Linked DNA regions of Schizosaccharomyces pombe. Changing the gene in region 1 together with any one later gene gives a genetic interaction. Each region holds a gene or a part of one and is shown in the gene's direction. Other genes may lie near its edges.

Evidence for each region.
Region 2: of nrm1 (region 1) and swd3, changing one enhances a phenotype caused by changing the other (phenotypic enhancement), as found in Schizosaccharomyces pombe (2 studies listed by BioGRID, with this or other methods).
Region 3: of nrm1 (region 1) and rum1, changing one suppresses a phenotype caused by changing the other (phenotypic suppression), as found in Schizosaccharomyces pombe (one study listed by BioGRID).
Region 4: mutations in nrm1 (region 1) and hap2 impair growth when combined (synthetic growth defect), as found in Schizosaccharomyces pombe (2 studies listed by BioGRID, with this or other methods).

The regions. Positions count from the first base shown.
Region 1 is NC_003423.3:4,282,119-4,289,083, forward strand, and holds nrm1 (protein nrm1), read left to right. Parts: upstream 1-3,825; 5' UTR 3,826-3,923; coding exon 3,924-4,952; 3' UTR 4,953-5,242; coding exon of another isoform or gene 5,243-6,110; 3' UTR 6,111-6,168; coding exon of another isoform or gene 6,169-6,258; 3' UTR 6,259-6,300; coding exon of another isoform or gene 6,301-6,315; 3' UTR 6,316-6,356; downstream 6,357-6,965. Other genes in the region: Hrd1 ubiquitin ligase complex subunit Ufd1, read left to right, coding at 36-38, 86-254, 435-467, 524-645, 694-1,395; oga1 (protein stm1), read left to right, coding at 1,820-1,837, 2,106-2,479, 2,542-3,004; tad1 (tRNA specific adenosine deaminase), read right to left, coding at 5,243-6,110, 6,169-6,258, 6,301-6,315, 6,357-6,550; nucleoporin Rae1, read left to right, coding at 6,827-6,898, 6,949-6,965. UniProt on the Schizosaccharomyces pombe protein: Negative regulatory component of the MBF complex involved in cell-cycle-dependent transcription.
Region 2 is NC_003423.3:546,415-550,729, forward strand, and holds swd3 (Set1C complex WD repeat protein Swd3), read left to right. Parts: upstream 1-1,949; 5' UTR 1,950-2,255; coding exon 2,256-3,398; 3' UTR 3,399-3,815; downstream 3,816-4,315. Other genes in the region: translocon alpha subunit Sec61, read right to left, coding at 1-50, 176-208, 265-377, 431-498, 543-552; SPOM_SPBC354.04 (uncharacterized protein), read left to right, coding at 3,882-4,315. UniProt on the Schizosaccharomyces pombe protein: The Set1 complex specifically methylates 'Lys-4' of histone H3.
Region 3 is NC_003423.3:2,796,002-2,804,518, forward strand, and holds rum1 (CDK inhibitor Rum1), read left to right. Parts: upstream 1-3,675; 5' UTR 3,676-4,587; coding exon 4,588-5,280; 3' UTR 5,281-5,916; downstream 5,917-8,517. Other genes in the region: P-TEFB-associated cyclin T Pch1, read left to right, coding at 1-93; SPOM_SPBC32F12.07C (MARCH family ubiquitin-protein ligase E3), read right to left, coding at 315-1,337; pgm1 (phosphoglucomutase), read left to right, coding at 6,516-8,180. UniProt on the Schizosaccharomyces pombe protein: Regulator of cell cycle G1 phase progression. Ensures the correct sequence of S phase and mitosis in the cell by acting as an inhibitor of the cdc2 mitotic kinase. Probably interacts with cdc2 to inhibit its action until the cell mass for Start is reached.
Region 4 is NC_003421.2:657,924-665,036, reverse strand, and holds hap2 (Ino80 complex subunit), read left to right. Parts: upstream 1-3,827; 5' UTR 3,828-3,855; coding exon 3,856-3,867; intron 3,868-3,912; coding exon 3,913-3,940; intron 3,941-3,992; coding exon 3,993-4,186; 3' UTR 4,187-4,297; downstream 4,298-7,113. Other genes in the region: peptidyl-prolyl cis-trans isomerase Pin1, read right to left, coding at 1-369; protein asi1, read left to right, coding at 1,049-2,695; sif2 (Sad1-interacting factor 2), read right to left, coding at 4,716-4,739, 4,840-5,328, 5,409-5,470, 5,549-5,814, 5,898-6,205; rpp21 (RNase MRP subunit), read right to left, coding at 6,779-7,113.

The DNA.
Region 1 (6,965 bases):
AGTTACTCTTTCCTTTTTTCGCAAAAAAAGCAAATATGGTATGGTTTTTTTAGAGAATGCGTACGTTGACTTACTCACGTATTAGTTTGGCGGCAGCTTTTTCTCAAGCGACGATGATGGTTTCTCCATGATGTCTCAACTTCGGTCAGCTTTTCATAATAATGTAAATCAGCGATTTGATACTCGTTACCGCTGTTATCCTGTTGCCATGATTCCTGGTGAGGAACGGCCAAATGTCAATTATGGTGGGAAAGGTAAGGTTTGAAAATACTTTTAAGTTTTCACATTGTTGGAGATTTGATTTTATATACTCATGAAGTTCATGTGATTTTATCTTTGAGCGCTTGCTTGCGCATTTGCTTATGGTTAACATTCTCTGCTCAATATTTTTTATATTGTTATTGGGGATTATTAGTATTAACAACTACGTCTAGTAATATTACCACCTTCAGCTTTAGAAAAACTATGTACGTAATGCGAAGAGAATTTATTAAGCCTTTTAAATCTGTTAATTAACTATTAGCACGCCTGAATGTCAGTTATCCCATGCTTTTTGACTTTGAAAACGAAGCTGCAGAGAAAAAAACTCATGGGGGTGTGTTAGAATTTATTGCGGAAGAGGGACGTGTCTACCTGCCTTATTGGGTATGAAAAAATTTAAAGACTGTCAGAAATGTACTAACTAGGGCACAGATGATGACTACACTTAGCCTTGAGCCTGGAGATTTGGTTCGAGTTATAAATACTGATATAGCACAGGGCAGCTATGTCAAATTACAGCCTCAAAGCGTGAATTTTCTTGATATCACGGACCACAGAGCGGTATTGGAAAATGCGCTTAGGAATTTCAGTACGCTTACAAAATCTGATATATTTGAGATTTTGTATAACGACCAGGTATATCAAATAAAAGTTATAGATGTTCAACCTGATGACTCCCGCCATGTTGTCTCAGTGGTAGAAACCGATTTGGTAGTTGATTTTGATCCCCCCATCGGTTATGAAGAAAGTTTGCAAAAAAACAAGCAGCAAAATATTGCTGGCGTTCAAGGAACGATGGTTACCAAGATTGGTTACGATGAGCTGGTGAGGCAGGGCGATTCGAATTTGATGAAGGGAACAGGGACTAAACTAAATGGTAAAGAAGTTGCTGAAGTGCCTAAAATAAATTTGCTCGATGTTGAGAAACAAGAATGTCCTGCTCCGTTGATCCTACCATTGGGTACATACTTCTTTGGGTATCCTTATAAAGCACCCTCTATTGAAGAAGATTCTAAGAAAGACCCCAATTTATTTAAGTTTGAAGGTGCCGGTACATCTCTACGTGCCTCTCGCAAAACAAATGGAACAATGGGAAAAGGTTCCTCTGATGACCCAATCGATATTGATGCTTAATGTTAATCGTCTCAAGTTATTACTTGGTTGGATTTAGTTTATAACGATTTTAGTACCAGTCTTTTTACATTGAATGAATTAATTTATTATTTGTTTCAAAATATAATGTAATTAATTCTTACTTAGACTGCCTAGCTTTTTTTTACCAGTAGTATATTTCTTAATAAAACTTATTTTAATGCTAAAGAAATGAATGATTCGATAAAACGAATATTGACAATTGTAAGCCAAGTGCTTCCGATATCATAGAAAAAAGACAGGCATTGTGTTGAATAACTGTAATTTTAAGATAGCCTTAGGTATTACCGTAAGATGATGGACAAAGCACATCATTTGTTTCAACCTACCCTAAGTTTGAGTGACTGCTTTTTGGATGACTGTAGTTGTGTAACTGAACACACACAATTAACTTTCCAGCTTCCAAATGTCTGTTGCATCCAAGGTATGATTTAAACATTTTATCATTAAACGATTATTTTAAGGGTTAGGAAATGAACGAACTGGTAATTATTTGTAGCATGTTTTAGGGCTGTGTTTAAGGTTTCATTACTGCGACCCGAATGAAATACTTTATAGAAGTATAGCCTGTATAAAGACGCTCAAGTATTAAAAAATATAAATTCACATTTCGTTCATTATTCTTTAGAGTGTTAGCTCTGCAGACTCTGCTGATTTTTATTTTGTTTTCGCAAGTAGTAACCAAATTATAGAACCTCTTTGACCTCCTCGGAGAGGAGACTCCCGCAGCTACTACTACCGAGAAGAAAACCGCTGCTTCTCGTGACAAAAAGCGCTCCGACAGCCCTCCTGTCCCCCGCGAATTAGTCGCTCAAAGCACCACCTCTAGGAAGCGTGACCCTAACCAACCCACTCCTCGTGAGCGTACCGTTAATAAGAAGGCAGACCAACCTCGCAGACGCCGTCAAGCTCCTCAAGGAAACGAAGCCTTTGCTCGTGAAGGCAAAGAAGCTCGTGCTAACAACGCTGCCCATCCTGTGGATGCCACTGGCGCCCCCTCCAACCGCCGCAATGCTCGTGCTCGCCGTGGTCGTGAATTTGACCGCCATAGCCAAACTGGTAGAGTGTATGTGTTTTATTTTTCTACATGTGAATGCCAAATTATATAATTGCTAACCATTATTTTAGTGATACCAAGAAGGCTACTGAACGTGGCTGGGGTGATCTCGTAAACTCTGCTGCTAACCCTGATGTTGCAGAGAACGAAGGTAACACTCCCTCTGGAGCCCAAACTCCTGCTGCCGAGGAGGAAAATGTTAAGACTCTTGATGAATATCTGTCTGAACGCAAGTCCGCCGCAAAGCCTGTTGGTCGTACTGTTGAGAAACTTGAAAACGCTACTAAGGTCGAGAAGAGTGCCCCCGAAGAATTGTTTGCCTCTCTTAAGAAGAGCGCTTCTCAAAAGAAGTCTGCTGCCAAGGAAAGCAAGCCAAAGAAGGTTCTTCTTGATATCGAGCAAACTTTTACTGCTCGTCCTGCTCGCGGTGGCCGTCCTAACCGTGCTCCCCGTCGTGGTCCTTCAGAAACTGCCTCAAAAACCCAACAGGCACCTCCCACCCTTTCTGAGACTGACTTTCCCGCTCTTGCATAGATGAACTGGTGACTTGAGAGTAGCCTATTGATGTGGAGCGTTTGATTGGTCTTGGATGAAATTTCGTTGTCAAGCGTATGTGGAAAGGTGTGTGTTATCTTACAGATCCCTTTTTGTTTATTTTCCATTGAGCATCATTCGGGTTTCTAGGTTATTCAGTGATTCTTATCATTAAAGCGGTCTAAGGTGTATTCTGTGGTTGCATTCCCTTTTTTGATCCACATTTTGCGATGAATTGACTAAATATTTTTCAAAATGGTCGAATACTAGTGTGTAAAAAAAATTTCATTCTCGTATCTATTCACAACTAATATTAAGAAGATGCGCGTTTAAATCGTCTACCGACTGTTATCTTGATATAACGTATCTTATTTTTAATCTGTAAATATCAGCCTTAGTAATTGTGTACATAACAAAAGCATATTTCAGTGTACGGTAGGTCTGCCTGTGCAATTCACAAATACTCCATTTATTATTCCAATTGATTTTGTCATTTTCAAATGTCGTTTGCAGGGATATTGAAACGGACGTTGAATAAAGCCTTCTTAACCTTGTAAAATGACTATAGGAAAGTTATGAACGAGTTTGTGTATCGGTAACATAACAGGTAAATCACTCTTCATAATGCAAATTGCGGTTTACTTTTTATAGCATCATTTTTGATAGCTATTTAAAAAATTTGAAAGTTAATATAATTAATAAACTCGAGGATATGAGCAAACTGATAAAACGCGCTATATCGCGAATTCGCGCTTTAAAGGGCGTCGCGTCGCGTTGCGTTGGACACCGCTTATATACGTGCCACAAGTACGCAACAATCGACGAGTCGCAAAAAAACTGTCTCTGATTATTACTTTTCCTTCTGATTCTCTGCTACTAGGAATCTTTATATTGGTTTCCGTTTAGAAAAAATAACAAGATGGATAGGTCAATGGAACCATTGACCCCATCTCGTTTAAACACTTTGGGGGAAAGGCCAACAAACGAAGTGTATGAGTATGGAAAAGGAAAAAATGTGCAACATTTATTTCCTATAACACCGATGCAGAGACCATTAGGAAAAGAGAATGCGGCTCCAGGGACGATTTCACCGATTGCGGTTCGATCTCGAAATGTGCGTGCAGTAGAAATTGCAGATGAAAATGCATGTGAAGAGCCAGTCTTAAAAATAAAATCTGTTAGTAGTACGGAGAGTGAAGAGGAAAAAGAATCTTCTACTGAGATAGGAGAGAAACAGGAAAAAGAAACACATTTAGAACCCAAGACACCAGTACAAACCAATACCAACAATAATCACTTAGACGACATTCAGTGTTGTGCTAAAAACTTACGCTTACGTCTTGAATTGGCTATGTATAAAGTACAAGTTAATCAAACATTTTCCCCTCTGCAAGATCTTCCCATTGTCGCTAAAACGAAGCTTCACAATTGTCCAAACTCTGAACCTGTTACCTCCATATGGAACCAGAGATCGCTTTCTTCTGGAAAGCCTCCGTCCTTACATCTTTCAGGGAATCGCAGGCTTTCCATGGGATCTCCCACGAAGTCGATATATGATCAGAATGGTTTGACAACGCCAAGACCGATCGGTTCTGATGATCTAACACATATGTATGATCCTTATACCTCTCCTTTACGCACCCCTTCTCGTACGCTATCACGCTCCTCCTCTCATTATCTGTGGGTTCGTCATGGTAAATTGACACGTAGCGTATCTCTTTTACAACATAAAACGCCTAGACGCATTCGGCCAAAATCACTTTCTAAAAGCAATTCTACACCGTTAAAGCATTTAAGCGCTCAGAAACCAAATTCAAATTACTATACTGGCCCGCCTACTCCAGTATCCATATCCAACACTCCAGAAAACATTCATCCATCATCTTCCGAAGTAAGGCGTATTGCAAGTCACAGCAAGCAATTTTCAGACTATGGTTTAATTCGATGATCCTTCTTTTTACATTTTAAACCGAGTTATGGAATAATGTTATGAGATGATTTTTATAATACTTTAATTACTCTAGTTGTCGTTCATTTCCTTTCTGACAGATTTCTATATGTGAATTATTTTGAAATGCAAAAAATAACTTTTAATTCCTCGCAACACGTTCTTTTATTTCTTACTTGTTATGTAACAAGTCAGTCGTTAATAAAATTATTATCGCTGGTAAAGCCATCCTTCGTTTTATTTAATGCCTTAATTCATACGTACATCTTATATTGAGGTTTCTAGATTTCTTATATCCATTGAAATTCGTTCCCTCCGTTTGGGATCCAGTTTTTTAAGATATTACGAAGAATTTGCTTTTGCTGGCAACGTTTGATGTTGAGTTTCTTCCATTCATAATAGTTTTTTTCATTAGTCAACGATTGACTTAATTGATGCAGCAAATTCATCATACTCTTTCTACATATTAATGTTTGAGACTTTTCAACGTCTTTAGCTTTTGTTCCCGCTTTAATACCATTATGTATCACTTGAGTACACTGCATTTTATCACCGATCCATATCAAAACGTTTGTACTAGTTGCAGTTTTTTCTGCTTGGTTCAACGGCCGTGAATATAAAAAATTTTCATCCGTTTCCAGCACGGTAAAAGGATGAAAGTAATAAGGATTATCCTTTTCTCCAAATTCAGCAAGTGGTGCGCACCGACCAAAGGGTCCAAATGCTCTGTCAATTGCTGATTTAACTATCACTTTTTTATAAAGCACTACACATGATAAATAGATGGGCTCACAAATGAGGCTGGTCTGGGAATTCAAAATAGAAAGATATTGTTTTGCAGCTAATTTATCAGTACAGCTTTTGCTCCAGCTTACTGGGGCATCAGGTCTCCCCGGTTTAGTACGCACGATTCCAAGTAGTCCAAAATCCGCCCTCCCACGCATTAATTTCTCTGAATCAACTGTTAAGTTCCATGGTTTGTTGTTTTCCAAGCGGCTAGCTAGTAGCTCCATACTCGCATCTCCGCAAGGACATTCGGAAACGTACAGATGTATCAGAAGATTGCTGTTTAGAGTAAATTTACCATTATCAGCAACTTCAAGAAGCCACGTATCTTTCTTTGATTCTTTAATTAAAATACAATGTTCGAGAAGTAATCTTAATTCTTTTATTAGTAACGAATACTAACAAATATACAAATAATTGTATATATTACCTGTTAAAACATCTTAATGCCAGAATCTCAGCATGACAATCATGTAATACACTACCCAGTTGTTCATTCTTAATGATGCCAGCTGGCGTACTAAATTGACTTGTTAATGAAAAAAATCAATTGGTAGCATACCATTTTACACCTGTTCTTTAGATGTCAGTTTACCGATATTAATAAAAAAGACGTACGCTAGACAAACACAAATAAATTCGTTCTCCATCTTTTTCTGAATGACAACACCGGCTAAAGTAGTCCATTCACGCACCCCATTTGCTCTTATGATCGGTTTGCCATGACGGGCTAGTTCATCAAATTTGTTAAGGACTGCAAGAGCTATTAAATTCCCAACATTACTGTTTCTATCTAGGGTAAATTCTTCCATTTTCTAATGAATTTCATAAATCCATACTTTATATTCAATTGTATTAAGAAAAGAGTACTTCGGGAGCGTAAATCCTGTGATATGTTGTGACCGTAATTAAATACTAATATTTTGTTTCCAACTGTTAATTAATAACAATTGGGTATTCCTAATAGCAAAGCTTATTCGCTGTAAGTGATTGAAGTACAAATGTTGGCAAAAGCATTTGTGGTAGTGTGTTGAAGCAAGTAATTTTGTCTGCATACGAGTAATTTACCAACTACCACAACTATTAGAATGTCACTTTTTGGACAGGCTACAACATCTACAGTATCTAATGCAACCGGTGACTTAAAAAAGGATGTGGAGGTTTGTTAATTTTACATATACGCTACTTACATTTGCTAATTACACGATAGGTTGCCCAACCCCCGGA
Region 2 (4,315 bases), 3.7 Mb from region 1:
CCAGCATACTGGAAGTGACAATAGGAGATATACCTAATTCCATGAGTGTTCTTATAATGGTTAGTAAATGCATAAACACATTTTTTAAAAAATGAAAAATAAGGAAGTTAAAGAGTAATCTCTTGTCAGTGATGGTTACAATACCTTCACTCATCCATATTTCTTAAAAACATACCCTCGATTGGCAGCTAAAATCATACGTAGCCAGCTGAAAAAGTCATTAGCTTTAGAAAATTAAAATTTAAACAAAAATAATAGTCTTACAGCAAAGGATCCGAAGAGTCTGAAGAGACAATTCCATATAATGGTACTTGAGACATAACCAAAAAAATCAACAAGGTGACTCCAGTCCATAACATTTTTTGCTTGAAAGGGACCTAGATTCGATATTAGCTTTCGATGTCTCTTATGAGATACATATGCTACATACCTTTCGTTCGGGTGCAGCAATCTCCGGTAAGAATGGCGCGAAAGGCTTTACAAGGTCCAGAAATCGTACTGTATAGTGTTAGAAATCAATAAGAAATAAAGCATGGTCTTACAATCACTCATATTGTATAATTTAATTAGATTTCTGCCCAACTAAACTTGCTGGTTCTTGTTGACAGTGAAGTATCATACTGAGGTTTTGGTGGTGAATTAAATTAAGGCAGCAGAACGATGGAGATAACTATTCACTTAAATGCGATAACAAGTAAATATTTCGTTTCATTATATAGTTAATAAATACGCTATAATACCAGTATAAACATTTGTTGAAGCTGTAATGAATGCCTGAATTGCCCATTTAACAAGCGTTAGAGAAGTTTTTTAAGCCGATTAAAATTCAAAATAATAACTGCTGAAATGATTTTACTTCACATAGGGATTAAAAGGAGATGCGATTTCCATTACGACCCAGGCAACAAGGTTGACTAATAAATCAAGATCATTAATTTAATATGGAATAAGAAGGGAACTAAAGGCTATGATGAAAGGCTTAATATGTGTACCGATCTAAGATGCCAACTGTTTCACCAAAAAATGAAAACACAATATTGTTTTACCAATTTGTAATTGGGAGATTGGATCAAATAAATTGATTACCAATTCATGACCTCAACAAGTAATTCTAGTTGTTCATAAGTGTTAGCCTCTTTCTTGCAATTACTATCCACGTGATTTAGATGTTTCTGTGGAACAACAGCTATCTGGATAAAAAAACTTTGGGACAAACGAGAGTGAAACATTTTTAACTTAAATTATTTGCATCACTCTGAAAGTTATGAGTTGACTCATTCGAAGTCAGTTGAGAGATGAATCACAGACACTACTTATTGAGAACTTTAAGCAATGGAAAACTTGATATCGAAGGAGCTATCAAAGTCAATATTAATTGAATGAGGACATTATGCAAAGAACGTATTTTGGTTCATTATAAGGAAACCTCTTTTTAGTATCTTTCAAACAAGCAGGAGCTTCATGAATGCAAGGCCGGAGAGAAATTGGACTAGCCTACTCACAGACTAGAAGATTACAAAACTTCAAAGGATATGTCTCAGTACGAAGATCGTACCCTTAGCGCAAGAGTATTGAACCCTCGTCAAATTAGTGAGCAATATCAGAAAAAAGTTTTTGTATTAATTCCTTGTAAACTTTACGTTTCAGTAAAAGGAGCCTAGTCGTTCTTCTTCATTCCCTAAGCTTTTTCATAACTTCAATGCGTGAATTATTGTACAATTTGTAGTAAACTTCCATTTATTAAGTCTTTGAACTAAATGGCTTAAAAATGACAATATTCCTGAATATCCTTTGCAGAGTAGTTTTCGACGTGAATTGCGAGGAAAATGAACCTGTAAACTTTATTGAAGACGAGTCAAATTATTGAGTTATTTAATATAAGTCCAAAGAAAAGCGTTTTTTAAATAGTCATTATTGTGGTATGTTGCTAGTTGAATGTTATACACTTCGTTGTCCACACCAGTTACTGCTTGTGCATACAATAAAGCTGGATGCTTAAAAAATTGACTGGCATCATTGTAATTTTATAATCTACATATGCAAAAAGCCCATGAACTTTTTTTCTTGTACATAGACTCTAGAAAGAGGAAATAAATTGATCGATTTTACTATCAGACAAAGGCGTTTGTTTATGATTGTTGAGATCATTCAATAAACCTTTTAATACTTCCTGATACGATTTTTGTCTTTAGTCCATTTTTACGAGAAGTACAAACAATCGGTCTGATAATTTTTCACATATCGTATATTAGAAGATGGATTCCACAGCTCAACAATTTCCTTTGAACCACGACCTGCAAGTACAAAAAGACCAGAAAGGTGTTGTAGAGGAAGATGAGGAGCAAATACATAAGCGCATTCGCAATTATGAATCACATTCAGGATTCTCTGAATATTGTACTCTTTTCGGTCATGAGAAAAGTGTTACATGTGTCAGCGTTTCCCCTAACAAACGATGGATCGCTACCTCTTCATCCGATGGAACTATAAAGATTTGGAGCGCACTTACGTTTCGACTTGAATGTACACTTTTCGGCCACTACCGAGGAATATCTCAAGTAAAATGGGCAACTGGTAGTAAGTATCTAGCTAGCGCTTCTGACGATAAGACCATAAGGATTTGGGATTTTGAAAAACGGTGCAGTGTGAGATGTTTAAAAGGTCATACAAATTACGTTTCATCAATTGACTTTAATCCATTGGGCACGCTTTTGGTGTCAGGATCATGGGATGAGACTGTCCGTATATGGAATCTTCAAGATGGAACTTGCCTTAGGATGCTACCTGCACATTCAGAACCTATTATATCTGTTTCTATATCAGCTGACGGAACTTTATGTGCGACTGCTAGTTATGATGGAATGGCACGAATTTGGGATGTTCTCAGTGGCCAGTGTTTAAAAACATTAGTTGAACCCATTAATGTTCCTTTGTCTAATCTCCAGTTTACAGAAAATCGAAAATATCTGCTTGTAAGTAATCTTAACTCACAGATCCGTCTTTGGGATTATCGCCGAAACCGTGTGGTACGAATATTTGATAGCCACGTGAATACAAGATATTCTATGTCTTGGGATTGCTATTCTTCTAAAAATATTCCTAAAAATACTGAAGCTTTACCCAATAATGACTCTTCCTACCCTGATGATGCAGAATCTTTCATGCACGATGCTTATCTTTTAATTCCTAGTGAAGATGGAACAATCCAAATTACAGATCCGAGTACAAAAATAATTATTGACGATTCAATTAGGCATTCCGATGATCCAGAAACATCACTTTTAAATGTAACCAGTTTAGGTCCTTTCATAATCACATCAGGAACTGATCCTTATGTACGAGTTTGGGCTCCTTCTCTTCTATTGTCGAAGCACGAGAAAGATGGCTTTTCACCTTAACCTGAATTGTTGACAAATAATGTATAAAGTTTAAAGAAACTACTTGGAATTACGATGAAGATAATGATGCTAAAGGTTTACGTGCGAAAACAAGCTCCTTACTTCCAATCCAAAGGCTAGTTGGCCTATGAAAACTTAAGTGGATCGATACATAGAAGATAAAATTAATTTATACAGTCTTCGATTATTCTTTACAGAAGATTTCTCGAAGAACGAATGTCGGCCAAGTTGATATCCTGAAATTGATGGTTTTTCTAATTTTTCTCGTTTATTAAACCAGTTATATTCATTTTGTTACTAATTTTCATCATCTAGTTTAATTCGACAGATTTTAAAGGGAGATAAATTTTTTACTTTTTTTTCCTAATATTTATTCCTTTACCACTACTGATATTCTAATAAGGTAAAACTTTTTTCGAATTAAATCATTTGGCCGAGTCAAACTTAAAATAATTGAGAAAAAAACGTATTACCTGATTTTCAATGAGTGAAAACCCAGCACATAAGGATTTGGACAGTTTGCAGGTTGACGAGAAAGCAAAAAGTTGGATTGCTGAAAAAGTTGAAGAGGAGCTCCGAAGGTTAGAGTCAGTAGGTGCTAAAGCGATCCCCTTAGATGTTAAGAATTACAGTGTTATGTTAGATGAAGACACGGATACTGTGGTAAACAGAATTGAGTTGATGACTAGCTTCGACTTTGATCATGTTCAACAAATTCTTCTATCCGCCGTACAGCCCTATCCTTATGATAAAAACTTAATGTTTGTTTATTTGGTGATATTAACGCCTCTTCCACACCCTATGTTAATTCCATATTTGTTTGCACCCAAGGTCGTAGGCAAGAATCTACTACCCCGTGCTGACGGATTGGTAGAGAATACCTTGAAAAGATGGACATTCATTAATGATAAGCTCAA
Region 3 (8,517 bases), 1.5 Mb from region 1:
AAAAGTACGGTGGACGACCAAATACTGTCGACAGCCGCCCAGCCAAAAAAATCATCTGATACAGATAAAGAGATGGAGACGGAAGCTTCATAAAAAAGAAAAATAATTCCAGATTGGAAATTTTATAAGTTATAAAAATTATTAATGCTATCAGCATCTTTATATTTATTTTTGGATTCGAATAAATCGATAACACGGTTTTAGAATATTGCTCGTAATAAAAGGCTTAAATTAAGTTCATGAGTATTTTTAAAAAGTAAATGCGTGAAAGAAATATTGCCGGAACTTAACAGTTTGACAACTTCATTGTTTGCTTATGAGTCAGAAACTCTACGAGGATTGTCGAGAATTCGAATGCTCCAGGGTTTTCTCTTTCTCCAAGCAATGAAACCATAGACAAAAATGTCCTTAAAAACTAATGCAGCAAAGGCACCAATAATGCTCTTCTCTAACTTTGTGAAATTCCCTGGAATAAACCTTCCCAAAAATTTCCCTGCTAATGGGAATAGTAGAATCGGTCGAACAATACGGAGAATTTTCGTAGTAAAAGCATCAAGGAAAACGTGTGCCACAGACAAAAGAATCCAAAATTCAGATTCTGTATCTTCTCTTTCGTTTACATCCTCGACTTGGTTACGATGCTCTACTTGTGCTTCAAACTGGCGAAACCAATCAGTTTCAGAATCTTCAAATTCCCCGTCCGCTCCAATTACAATACCGTCAAATATACGGGTCATTAGTTCCTTATATAAAGATCTTACCCAAGGCAGAGTGCACAGTAGAAGTGAGGTATTCGAAATCTTTTCCGCGCAACTATAAATTGAAAAATGCGTGTAGAGACTAAATGCTATATCATAAGGCGGAGCTTCGTAGAACCGAACCAACATGCATGGTAATAAAGGCAATACGACAGAGGAGAAAACTGGCTTTTTTAACATTTCTATCAGGCTGCTTTCATCTGCCACCTGTTTACATATCCATATTCCAGTCTGTTTGAATATTGAATAAATAAACTTGGTAATACCTAAACAAGAACCTACACCAAACGTTACTTGAGCTAGACCAGCTTCAAGGGAATGACCGATTCCAAGAACGTTTACAGCCCAAGACTTTTCCTTTGGCGGTTTAGCAATTCTATATGCGGTAAGACATTGAGGACAACGAGTACTGCCAGATCTGGTAATGTAAGAAATCAAACAACTTTCATGAGCAATGAGTGAACACCGACACGGACGTCTCCAAGAATCATTTGAAAGGGAGCATAGTTTTTTGTCGTATTCCTCATAGCATATCCAGCAGCGAGCACTGCTTTTCTCATACTTCGCGGTGTCCGTCATTTAGCAGAACCTCGGGGTTTTCCAATACAAAAAAGAAAATTTAGAATAAATAAAATAAACGCTTAACGTCAATGTTTCAAAACAAAATAGGTTTTAAAATATAGGCATTTTCCTGAACAAATTCTAACATAAAGATAGTTCAGTACTTTCTCATAAGTTTAGGAGCCTTAGTAATTAAAAAGATTGGGTATTGAAAGTAAAGTTGAAAGTGTGGAATGAACAATATAATTTAAATGATATGAGTAAAAAAGCTGTTTACAATTACTTGTGTAGCTTTTTTAATGCAAACGATTTTAGAATAAACTTCAAATCCCTAAAACTATCGTAAAGTAGTTCGTTTTGAGCGATTGGACGGATTCGTGGTGAAAGGTGGTTGAGTGGTTTCACGAGTGCTTGTCCTGCTACGAGTTGAGGGGTGCTGAGGAACGGAGGGCACATTACTGACTCGTGAAGGTGGACGAAGTCTAGAGGAAGTTTTAGAAATTATACTTTTTCTATTTGAAGAATTGAGACCATTATTAGGAATCGAACTTGCTACGGATGGCAAGTTGGATGTTGGTATAGTAGGAGCAGAGGAGGTGGCCGATTTTGGAATTGCGGATTGGCGATGACTTGCAAAAGATGAAGAAGGAGTCCTAAGTGAGTTTGGGTTAGAAGTCGTAGCCATGCTAACCCGAGAACGCACATTCATGGATGAAGACCTTGGGAACATGGGAAGGCCTAGAAGGTACATATGAAGATGCGGCTCTTCTTGCAGGTCGGACCTTTGGATCTTTAGACCTTAATAACCTTTGCTGCTGTTGTTTTTGAAGAGCTATAGCTTCCTCTTTTTGCCTTCGTTCTTGTTCAAGTCGTTCTTGTTCTTGTTGTAATTCGATCTTTCTCTGCTCTTCGGCTTGTATTTGAAGCATTTTTTGATGTTGCAATCTTTCTAATTCTTCATTATCAAAAGACAAACCTTTCCAGTCGCTATTTAGTATTAGATTCTGAGTATGCTCCGTTTGGCTTAGAACCGATGACCATAATTGTATTAGACGATTCGAGTTGTTAATGGAGGTTTCGAATGACTTTATTTTTTCTTTAGAAGCAGAAAGACCATCCGTAAGCTTTTCTATAGTGTAATTAAAGCTCCTTAAAATCTGTAGTTCTTGTTGCAATTCAGATGTCATGTTCAAAGAAAAAGATAGACTATCCTATTAACTGAAGACAAGAAAAAATCACTAAAAAATATATAATTAACTCAAGTATAGAAAATAATTTCTTGTGTGCAATTTAAGCCTAACAAAGTATTCGATTGAAGATGTGCGAATTGTTTAAAGAAATTCAGTACAAAGAGTAGACGAAGGTTGTTTTTATTTTTTTTTACAAAAAATATAATAAATTAAATGAAACAGTTTGAAAAGAAAATTGCAGCGACTCCAGTTGTCCCTTAGAATAAGAACGATAGGAAATATGAGGCAGAGGTTAGTGTTTACACAGGCAGAGAAGAAGAAATGAATTGAATAAAGAGTTAGTTATGTGCATTACATTTTGATAATAGTTTTTGAAGAGGAAACATATTTTTAATTTTTAATTTAACGAACCTATCATTTTAATTGTTTCATTTGGCAAATGCATTGATACTATTTATTGTAAACAATAGGTAATGAAGCGTAAAATAAGTCATAACATGAACATTCATTTATGAATATTTTAATTATTGACCAATATGTTTATAATATTTTTTGATAAATTATGTTAGTAGCGTATTCCTTAAACACATAAATAAACATTGTCACGATTTAATTTTTAACAATTGTGATATATTTTGGAAATACTTAGCGATGTAGCAACCGTGTATTTACTTTGCATATTGCTGTTCCCATTTCGATTTGAAAATGGTGTTTGAAAGATAGTCGATTCTTCATAAATCCATTTTTCCTGCATTTGAGCTAAGGTAATAAATATTGCTTATACCATCAATTTGCTAATAAGGAACAATCTTAACGAAATATCCCTTGAATTAGTTTTGATAGTACTTGCTTTTAAATAACAATAAGAGACTTATTTCATTTACCATACTCGCGAAGTTTCTTCTTTATTAGAACTTCAAATGTAGTTTACTTTTATTTACGGTTTTGCAGTCATATATTTTTATTTTCGAACTGGAATATTTCTATGATGCTTAAAATTGTTAGTAAATTTTTTAGATTTTTGCTAAAGAGAACAGAAAATCGATTCTCATTTAAAATCTAACTACACATTTATGCAAAAATTGTACTTGATCAAAGTAATTAATTTAGCGTACTGCGTTACAGCCATCTAATAGTAATGGTTACCACGAAATGAGCAAATAACCAGTTAACCAGAACGTCAAACATACAGTTCTACTACTACATACATAAGCTTTGGGTTCCTTGACAGCGGTTGTTGCAAACTGAATTTTTTTGTTTTGGATTATATATAATATACAATCAATTGATCTTGTTTAGTCTTGATTCGTGTGTGTTTACTTGAGTGCTGCAGTAATATATTACTAAATTGTACGAATTTGGTCAAAGAGAATCCGCTTTTTTATCAGTTTTTTATTTTTAAAATTTAATTTTGAATTATACTCTTTACAAGGAACGGTAGCATCTTTATAAGAAATCGAGCATTCAATTTCTATGTGAAAAAGTTGAATTCGTCTAAGCAAACAACCAACTAGTTTTTAAATTCTAACATTAGAAAGAATATTTTTCCTTGTTAATTATTCTATTTACAATTTTAAAGTTGGCACATATCTTTTTTTGATTGGTTGATTCTTTGATATTTTAGCTGCACTTACTTCTTGGTATGAAGTGAAATTTTGCTTTTTAAAATAGACATTTTCCCATTCCCGTTTTCTAAAAGATTCCTTTTTTTTGTTTACTCCGAAAATTTCAATACCTTTCTTACAAGCTACAATCCCATTTTGTTCCTTCCTTTTGATATATTGAAGCCATTTCAATTGTTTCTATATTATTTCAAACAATTTTACAAATATTGTTTAAATTGTATAATTATCAAAGCGCAGTCGCTAGCTTGGTGGGTATTAAATTGTTACCTTTTCGTTTGCTACAGGTAACTTGTGAACATTTCTGGTGCTGAATTTTCCTACACCCAAAAACCATTGAAAAATACATTTTTTAAATCATATCGGAAAGCTTGAATACACGCTCTTCTGATAATCCGCTCGATACATAAAGGATTTCTTCTTGCATTTACCTGGTTTTTGGATTGTCAGTTCGCTATGGAACCTTCAACACCACCTATGCGAGGGTTGTGTACTCCATCTACCCCAGAGTCTCCTGGGAGTTTTAAAGGAGTCATCGATGCTTCGTTAGAAGGTAATTCTTCTATTATGATAGATGAAATCCCTGAAAGCGATTTACCAGCACCTCAAGTTAGCACATTTCCACCTACACCTGCTAAAACTCCCAAAAAGCAATTACTACCAAATTTAATGCTACAAGATCGGAGTAATTCTTTAGAAAGATGTATGGAAGAAGACAGAGAACACAATCCTTTTCTCAGTTCATCTGATAACCAGCTTTTGTCAAGAAAGAAGAGAAAGCCTACTCCTCCTCCTTCTGATGGTTTGTACTATGTTTTTCGGGGGAAAAGAATCAAGAAATCCTTCAGGCCTGGAACTGATTTATCTACTTTTAAGCCCAAACTCTTGTTTGCTGACTCGGCGCCTTCTTCTAGTTCAGATAACCCAACATCCTCTGTAGACCTTAATGACTATTCTCAAATTGGCATTCTCCCTCCAAACCTGAATTCTATTGGGAATAAAATGTTCTCGTTAAAATCAAGGGTTCCATCTTCCTCGTCAGGTTCCTTTGTTGCTCCCCCACCGCAAATGCGTTTACCTGCGTATTCATCACCACAAAAATCACGATCTAATACAAAAGATGAAAACAGGCACAATTTATTACGATAACTTTTTTTCGCATTTTGTAATTGTGTTTGATACCGTTTATATAAATGCCCAATCACGAAATACTCTTCTGCCTTATTCATGATAATCGTTCGTTTGAACTTTTGGTAGTAGATCAGAACCTCCTATTCTCTATTCTTGATGAAAATGCATTTTGACAAACGCTGGTCGTTAGTCATTCATGGTAATATCACCACAATATCACCACGATTTTCTTAATTGAGTATCTATAATTACATTTCCCCATCTTTCCATTTGTGCCTATTCATATTCCATTTGGCAACTTAATTTTTTATCGTCCTCCCGTGTCTGCCCTGAGCCATTGCAACTTTTTTTAGCAACCTTTTACGGCATGCTTTGAAATATTATACGTTTAACTTATTTCCTAATTTCATCCACTGAGCTTTTACTTTAAGACTTATACTAATATTACATGGCTTTCACAATTTTCTTTTCTTTGTTCAGAGAGTGAATATATTCTGAAATGTTGTATTTATCGATTAGTTAATAATGCTATTCGATTTCTAAATTTTTTGCTGGTTTGGAAACTATAGTCTGTTATTCTCAATAACTAGTTTTATATTCAATTGTTTTATCCCAGTAATAAAAAGGTATTTTTATACCGCATATACAATACTATTCTAGGCTTCTTAGACAGTTATACACATTACGGTATTGCTGTTACATTGAGTTAATTTGTGGTTTGGTGATATAGTGAAGTTTACTAGCTGGTACTGAAATCCTACAAATGGATAACAAAACTGGTTCTAAGCGTATGAAAGGAGTCTTTGGGTAAAATTATAGTGTAATATCGTTTCGTTCATTGAAGTAATAATTAGGCCTAACCGACTCTACTTGACTAACATTTTTTCTTCACACCATGAAGCATGATGAATAATGTATTTATTTATGTTACCTGAGCGGTAAGATGATTTGTTTACATAATGTCACTTTTATTTACATTTGCACTGCAAAATGACAACAAGGAAGCCACTTACATCACAGTGAAGTTCGTTAAAAATTCGTAACTCTTATATTTACATGGTACCCGTGTTTCTCCCCTCTACCATACTGAGCATATAAAATAACACAAAAGTTAGTGAATCATTTTGTGGCATATCCGAACACTCCTTAGCTTTTTACGAAGCAAAACAAGAAACGATTAATAATATCATCTATCTTTTATTGAAAGTCTAGAGTTTGCATAAGTCGAGGCTGTTTACTCATAGGAACACAACATGATCGAAACAATCCCAACGAAACCATATGAGGGCCAACGCCCTGGTACATCAGGTCTTCGCAAGAAGGTTACTGTCTTTGAGCAACCAAATTACGTTGAGAACTTTGTTCAAGCTACGATGGATGTAGTTGAACCATCTGCCAAAGGAGCCCATCTAGTTGTCGGTGGTGATGGACGTTATTTCAACTTTCATGCCATCCAAGTCATTGCTGCTATAGCTGCTGGCAATGGTGTTGAGAAGATCATTGTTGGTACAAATGGATATCTGTCTACTCCCGCCGCTAGTCACATTATTAGGAAGTACAAGCTAACCGGCGGTATCATTTTGACCGCTTCTCATAATGCCGGTGGTCCCAAGAACGATTTCGGTATTAAATATAACCTTGGCAATGGTGGACCAGCACCTGAATCTGTTACTGAGAAAATTTATTCCATTACTAAAACCATATCCGAATACAAAATGGTAAAGATTCCTCCCTTGGATTTAACGACGACCGGTGTCCGTAGATATGGCCCATTGACGGTTGAAGTCATCGACCCGGTCAAGGATTATGTTCAGTTGATGAAAGAAATCTTTGACTTTGATTTGATTCGCAGCTTCCTATCCAAAAACCCCGATTTTACATTTGTCTTTGATGCTTTACATGGTATCACTGGTCCCTACGGTGAGGCTCTTTTCTGTAAGGAACTCGGTATGCCTTCATCAGTTTGTCAGAATTGCAAACCTCTTCCCGACTTTGGTGGTGGTCATCCTGACCCTAACCTCACTTACGCCAAGAGTTTGGTGGCTCGTGTTGATCGGGATAACATTGTAATGGGAGCAGCATCTGATGGTGATGGTGATCGTAACATGATTTATGGTGCCAATGCATTCGTCACACCTAGTGACAGTGTAGCCATCATTGCCCATCATGCCGAATTAATTCCATACTTCCGTGATGGAGGTGTTCATGGGTTTGCTCGTTCAATGCCCACATCTGGCGCCATTGACAGAGTTGGCAAGTATAAGGGAAAGAATGTGTATGAGGTTCCTACTGGTTGGAAGTTCTTCTGCAACTTGTTTGATGCTAAGCGTTTATCCATCTGCGGTGAAGAGTCTTTTGGAACCGGTAGTGATCACATTCGAGAGAAGGATGGCGTTTGGGGAATCTTGTGTTGGTTGAACATTCTTGCTGGATTGAACGCGCAAAACCCCAAGATCAAGACGTTGATCGATGTTAAGAAAGATTTTTACAATATTTATGGCCGTACATTCTACAGTCGTTATGATTATGAAGAGTTGGAAAATGAAGCTGCCGGTAAGGTGATGGATAGAATGCGTGCCATTGCCGATGATAAGAGCAAGGTTGGAGAGGCAGTTTTGCCTGGTTTTGTCGTTTCTGAAGCCGGTGATTTTGAGTATCATGATCCCATTGATGGTAGCGAAAGCAAGCATCAAGGATTATACATCAAATTTGAGAATGGTAGTAGAATTGTGACACGTTTGTCCGGTACTGGATCCAGCGGAGCCACGTTACGACTCTACATGGAGAAGCACGAATCAGATTCGAGCAAGTTTGATCTTGATGCTCAAGTTGCATTGAAGCCAGTGGTTCATGCAGCTCTTGAAATCTTGGCTCTGGAGGAATTGACTGGTCGTAAGGAGCCAACTGTCATTACTTAAAGATAGTATATTTTATCATTGAATTTATGAGGTTTATTAGCTGAATTAAAAAACTACTAGCGTTTTAACGAATTATTTGCACTGAATTCATGAAAATCATGAGCAATAACGAATTACATTTTTTTTTACTAAACCCCTTGAGGGTTTTTCTTCTCTTCTTTTTTTTTAATAATACTTTGTATTACTAGGAGAAATGAATAAAAGCATTTTTACCATGAACCAACTCGATTGTTTAAAACTCAAATATGCATAGAGAGAGAGACAGACAGTAGGATAGAGGGATTTATTATTGGGTTTGCATAATGGAAAAATGATCATAAAGTAAACATTAGCTTGT
Region 4 (7,113 bases), on another chromosome or scaffold:
CGACTCTTTCATGGCTAAATCATGCATGCTTACAGAGCCACTCTTTAGCAATTGTTCATAGTGTTCAGCCAGCTTCCTCGCCTCCTCCTTGCTCCTAGTAATGTGCTCCTCCTTCCATGAGCTGGGACGACGGCTTTCTCGATGCTTTACGAGTAAATGGCTAGCACGAATCTTGGGTGAATTGCTTGCCTCGGTGGGTGTAACTGACTCCTGCAACTCGTTTGCAATGAACTTTTTCAGGGCAGCCATATCAGTGGCAGCCGGAGGCTCCCATAAAGACTCATGCGTCTCAGTATTAAAGAAGTAGGGACGATTTCTGGAGCGTGAAATCTTGACAATCCATGGTTTGGGTAACCCAGTATTAGACATTTTTTTTACCACAACGCTTCTTCAAAAAATGGATTCACTAAGACAGAAAAAATCCTCAACTATAAATTACAAGCAAAACACGTTCAATCTCTGCAATTTGAAGCTTGTTTATTTGCTTTGTTTAGAGTCACGTAGTAGCTAGAGTCGTTTGCCATCTATTATGTAAATAAAGCACATTTGCTATGTTGCTATGTCAACCACCACTAAGGCCTTCGATAGGAAAGGAAATGGGGGCATTCTACCTTTTTATCCCAAGTGGGGGCACTTTCCAAAGTACCAGAAGATAGGGCATACCTTATTCGTCAATTGGAGACAAAACTCAAGGCATGCCTTTTTGCCTCAGCATAAGCGGAACACCTAGCTTGAAAGAGTAAAAAGTCGTAGAGGACTACAAATTCGATATTTATTTAATTAATCAAGAAAAATTGGTGTAATTTGAAGTAGAAACATTTTTTTTCTGGCAGATTTGAGTGGAATTTGAGGAAAAAGGTGAGAAGTTTGGAGATTTCGGATTGTTGAACGAAAATTTGTTGGATTTGAAAATTGTTAGACTTTTGGTGCATTCCTCTTTTCGTTTGTCAAAGTTTACTTAGTGTCGTAGACTGCAGTGAGAAGAGCTCGGTTTTAAGTTTTTTTTTCATAAATAATAGGTTATTGAGGTACAATTCAATTCACCTTAATGCATATTCCACACTTTCATCTTCACAAGGGTCCCAAAGGCGTGCGCACTATATCGTATGAGCAGCTTCTCTCCGAAGATGACTCGTATGCGTCTGAAAAGCTGAGTGAGGACCATGTAACGGAGGTTCATTTTGTTACTGATAAGGACGAGGATTCAAATGCTTCCGGCGAGTCGAGAGGTTCTATGGAGTTGTTGGAAAACTGTTTTTCTTTGCTGCATGCCCAGGACGATACAAGTAAATTTGTGTCATTGACCATGCTTGCAAAATTACTCAATGATCATCCCAATCTCATCTTCAAATGCTGGGAAAGGATGGATATGAAGTTTTTGGACCGCTTGCTCCTTTCCACTCATTACGAGTACGTAGATTTGGGCGTCTCCATCCTTCTCGCTTTCTGCAGTGAAGAAGCCATTTTACGAAGTTATGAAGTGAAAAAAAGGGTTTCTACTTTACTACAGTGTTGTTTGAAACATTATGATCTTTGTATCCCGGTTATATGTACTTTGTCTTCCAACCCAAAATCAGCTAAGTATCTCCTTTACTATACATCATTTATTATCAACGAATTTCCATTTGAACAAGCATTTGAAATCCTTTCAAACGCACTATACGCCCTCGACAACGTACAGACGTATATGCGTCCCATTTTCCAAGGTATCGACAAACGACGCGGATGGAAGTTGGACTGTACTTTCTCGTTTTTTAGCGATTTGTTTTCGCGATTCCCGGTTCAATCATGGTATTCCGAGGCCATTCGTGCTAATCTCCAGCCTTTGATGGATGCGGTTGTTGAACGCTTTATCACCGATAAAAATCTTTCTTCAGCTACCGTTATTCTTTCTAACCTTCTTAAAGCTGCTGGTCCCGCCTCTATTATGCCAAATGATGGGTTTATGATTTTGGTGATTGGTCGCTGCTCTGCTGAGATTCGAGGAAGTCTGGGAATGCTAGTTAAGGCAGTTGGTCAGAAAGGAAAGCATGGAACTGTGTCGTACACGGTTTGTGAATGCTATGAAGTTCTTGGACTCCTCATTCGATATCTATGTGAAAATTGTGACGTTCTTGCCCAAAGAATTGAGCCTGATAAATTTTTCCAACTTCAGCGATCGCTTACTGAGTTGTTTAGCGATACGATGGATTTTCTTCGTGATGCATGGGATAACAATAAAAACCGTGACAATTTAGCATCACATGTAACTGTAATCAGTGCTGTGGCTACCTTGTGTTTGTGGTTGACCGAAGATGACAGCCAATATGCACAAGCCTCTGGTCTTATGGACATATTTGTATATCTGTGGAGGCATAGCTGGTCGAATGGAATTGATTATGCTAAATGGATTAGCGTTGCTCTCCCTTCCATGCTGAGCAACAAGGTTTTCTTTAAAGCTTTTAAAGATTTTGATGCATGGAAAGTTGTTTATGACGATTTTATCAAGTGTAACGATGATTTAAAAGGCGACAAGTCTTTTAACGATTATATACTATCTACGAACGAAGAAGATGGGGAGGATGAACGACTTGCTCAAGCTATTCAAGATTTTCACATTCTCATTCAACTTAACTCTCTTGTTCCACAGTCAATTTGGAATGATGATATTTGGCAAGAGCCATATTGGAAGAATTTGCTTGAATCCAATTTTTAAAAAAGTTTTTGCTTTTAAAACAAATGCCCGCTTTAATATCTCCCCATAATTATTATTTTTCGTTCTTTTTAAGTTTTCTTTTTTTTTGGTCGAAAAAAACATGTCGATTTTTATTTGACAATTATTTAAGTGAAACTCTGCTTCTTTGTCTTTGTTTATTATTTTATTTGATTAATAACTTAATTTCTTGGGTACTTGAAGGGATCTTTAATTTAATACTTGGATTGTGTATCCGGGTTCTTATTATTGCCGTTGTTTTTAAACAATTTCTATGTGCTTTTGTTCATGAAATATTAACTCCTCTATCTTAGACTGGTTTATATTACCAAAAAATATACGTCTAAAACCTCTTTGACCCCTTCTCTTTTTTCTAATTTTCCTCCTCGCCCCTCTTTATTTAATTTCAGCCCACTCATAAATGTCTGTATTGTTTCAATTCAATGCTAGAAGCAAGGTGAAACCCTTGTATTTTTTATTATCTTTTTATCATTTCTGTTTGTTTTTATTTCGTTGTTGAACATTATTTGGTTTCAATTTTCTTTCAGAAGGTTCTTTCTGTTTTATTTCGCTTTTTCCCTTCTGAAAATTATTTTGCCAATGAGACACTGCTTTATTACTTGAAATTTTCTGTGCAACCGGAGCCTGGTTCTGCTGGAAGTATTCGTTTATGACAGTGCATTTATAAAACGAATGACAGATTTACTCTGAATCAGTGGCTGACAATATCATTTTTGAACTTATCCGAAGTAAATTCATGATTCTTTGTTATGAAATGATCATAAATCGTTTTTGAAATATTTGTTCACATGTATGATGTACCTTTGTTTATTGAAATTTGACTTTCGTATTGTAAATGTGAGACATGATCCATTCTTTTTCTACCCAAAAGAAGCAAAAATGTAATATGAATGGATAAGAGAAGTCAGCCAAAAAAGGATTAGCTTTATATTAGACATTTGTTTTTCACTAGCAATACCCAGCTGATGGGTAAGAAAACTAGATAACGGTTTCGGTTCGTATCGTTATAAACCCTTGGTTGCGTAATGTAGTAGGCAATCTTCTATAACGAAGTAAGCAGTTTTTCGTTAAATACAATACAGATTTTAAGCAAACTAGCTTTGCATTCTTCACCAGAAACTGAGAACGTGAAGCTTTCGGGAATGGATCCACAGGTAGGAGGTTTATTACCTATTTGTAATTATTTATTGACCGCGTAGGTGGTAAATTTGCTTCAAGAAACTGAAGGTGTGTACCGATTTTTGTCTGACGACTTTTTGCTAATGAACTCGACGTATAGAGGACGTGTATCGGCGTAAAACCGCAAGGATTCGAAGAAAAGTCTCGGAAATTGAAAAGGAATGCGAAATGTATGCTGTGAAAATTTACAACGTTGAAAGAGACATTCAGCGGTATCGCCATGAAGCGCAATTGCTATCTAAAGTGCTCGAGAAAAAAGGGTTAAATAAAGAAAAGGAAGCTGGTGAGACATAATACTTGTTTTAGGCAGGCGCTTGATGTTTTTATTTTTAAGTCTTCATTCGTTTTAAAATCACTTTGCCGGCCATTGATCTATAATCGTTAACATGCTTTTTTTTGACTAAGTATATGAAGTATGTAATGATTGATGGTAAAAATTGGACTCTGCAACCGAAGAAAAAAAACCTTATGTAATTTTTTGAAAAGTCATACTTTGTGCCGAAATCAATACAATATCTACGTACTATGGCTGTTGTTGTCCTTTTTTGTGTAACCCATTTCAACGTTCTTTTATGTGGGAAATCAACTAGGAATCTTCAAAGAAGAGAAAAAAAGAGCTTTATCTTCTATTAAGTAGGATTATTATAGAAGACTACCGTGTAATGTCAATAAATCATGAACTAACCGAAACTAAAAAAAAACTAAAGGAAAAAGCCGAAACATATGCGTAATCAACTCGATAAATATGGTTTAATTTTTTTGCCCTTTCCCATTTCTTCAATTATGTAAACATAATGTAAAAAGAGGAAAGATTCTTCGGTTGTTATTGAAACAGCTTCCAATCCACCTATGTAGAATAATGTGTTAGCAAACAGTAAAATAAATTTGTTGGAATTGTTGATTACTAAACGGAAGTCATTCAATTTGAAACCATCGGCCAAACGTACCACTATACTGAATAAGGCTATCAGCACCAACAGCCCCATAAGGATTACCACAATCCATTCTAGAGATTCATCATGTGTATGTGTTATCTGTTCTTTCAACATTGAAAGTAGGTCTCCAATTACCTCCACTCTTTGATTTAGTAAAGCAACTCTTTGGTTAATTTCCAAGTAAGACCGTGCTGCTGTATATATAGGTTCTAACTGCGGCTCCGTCCACATCAGCTCAGGACTATCCAAAACGCTTCCTTGTAAATTAATGTTAATTCTTAAAATAAACAACTGGCCTACGGCCATCATAATTTCCTCTCTTTTCAAATTCACTCTGCCAGTCTCGGCAATCATTTGGGGTGTATCTTTAGTAGCATCTATTGTTTCGTTGACCAGCTCTTCAAATAGTGATATTTTGACTGATTGAGCAATAGCATGTGAAATTGAAAGACGAATCATGTAGTTGGATGCATCCCGAAGTGCTATAAAGTCGTTGAATATCTATATCTGTTAGTCGACTAGCTTCACCATGAGGAAAAAGAGCTAAAGACAAAAATTTTTATCAATAAAAATGTTCATACCCTTGGTTGATAAAGAGTCGTTATATAGTAGTTAAACTCTTCTACCTCCATATCTTCGATCTCTAAAAATTACAAATGTTAATAACTGCTTAAAGATACAACAATATGATAATGACTGTCACCCAAAGTAATTTGCATACTTAATTTTTCAATTTCAAAGCGACCGAGTTCTCTTAAGAAACGATGCTCTTCATCAATTGTGTATCCCCATAAAACAACAACGCCATAAGTAAAGCAAAACACTTCCCGAAACAAGGGTTGATTCCTGTCCAACCCGGATTCTTCAAAAATACTTTGTAGACTTTCTTGAGAAGATTCTCGATTTAACGTTCCACGGGAGGACTCCAATGTGTCAGGAAGTAAGTCTGTCGTCTCTTCATTATTGTAGCTATACGGACTATAAATACTGTTATAATGTTAGATAAACCTCTTCAAGTAAATATCAATAAGGATCAATAGAATGAGAAAAATGCAAAAATATTAACTAACCATTCGTCAAATTGTTTAGGTCTTGTTTTATGACTACTTCTTCGAGATTGAAAAAACTTAAACAGCAAGTCGACTCTAAATGTATCGCATGTACAATAGGCAGTTACTCTTGGTAAGAATTCTCGATGCCGTTTTCCAAGATGCTCTGCGTCTCGTTTTGCCGTTGACCCTTCTATTTGAGGAATTTGGGAGTACACTTCGCGCCCCGTATCCTGCCTTCTAAAATCATCAAATTCTTCTGTAGAAGGAAGAAGCCGAAGCTTCGCTGCAGTTTTTGTGGATCTCTGAGGCCCAATTCTATTACTCATCCTCAGAATGCAAAACTGGAGTTGGTAATTGACACAAGCTCAACTTCAGGTGGTAGACAGTGAGAGACCTCTCTTGTAAAGGAATGAACGATTAATCGGAAACTTAAAAATATGCTCATAAGGGCGTTGTCAAAAGAAAACTACTGAAAATATGCTACGCACAATAACCGCAAGTTGACGATTTGTTTGCTATTCTGTGATTGACATTTCCGTATATATTTCGCACCATACAAGTGACAAATCAAAGAAATAGTAAATAAATAAGTTAAAAGTAAATACAAATAGAAGAAGGGGCCCCTTGTCTAAACTCGTCCAACCCAAACGAATAGTTCTAATACAAATGTAAATAAAAGTAAACAACGGGAAAAGGTAACGATCAAATCTAAAACGGGAAGTTCAAATTTTAAATCAAAACTACATTAAGACAAATGAGCTGAACTAAAAGAGGAAGAAGTACACGGCGCTGAAGGCTGTAATAAATGTCAGAAAAGTTTCAATCCTCATTTTAGAGGGAAAATATGTGTATAAGAATATGACAACTAGATAGAAAATTGATAGATCAATCAGAATCACTCATATCGGTGACATAAAGTCTTGTAAACTTAATGAAGATGTGCTTTTTGCAACCTCATCTTTTTTTTTCTTCCTATCCAAAATTCCATTAAGTCCGGAGGCTCTCAAACGTTGTCTTTGTTTTACTTTGGCATTATGGGCAGATTTTCGACTTTCGAGTTTCGTAGATGAAGATTCAGCAATAGCTTTAGCACGTAACGCTTGTTTGCTTTGGTGCAAGCGAAGAGGTACCCCTAAAGGAATTTCATGAACATAAGAGCAGACTAAGCAGTTAATTTCTAAATTTGTGCCCAACCTTGAGACCTCTCCTTTCTTCAAATCTGTCCGTGCCTTCC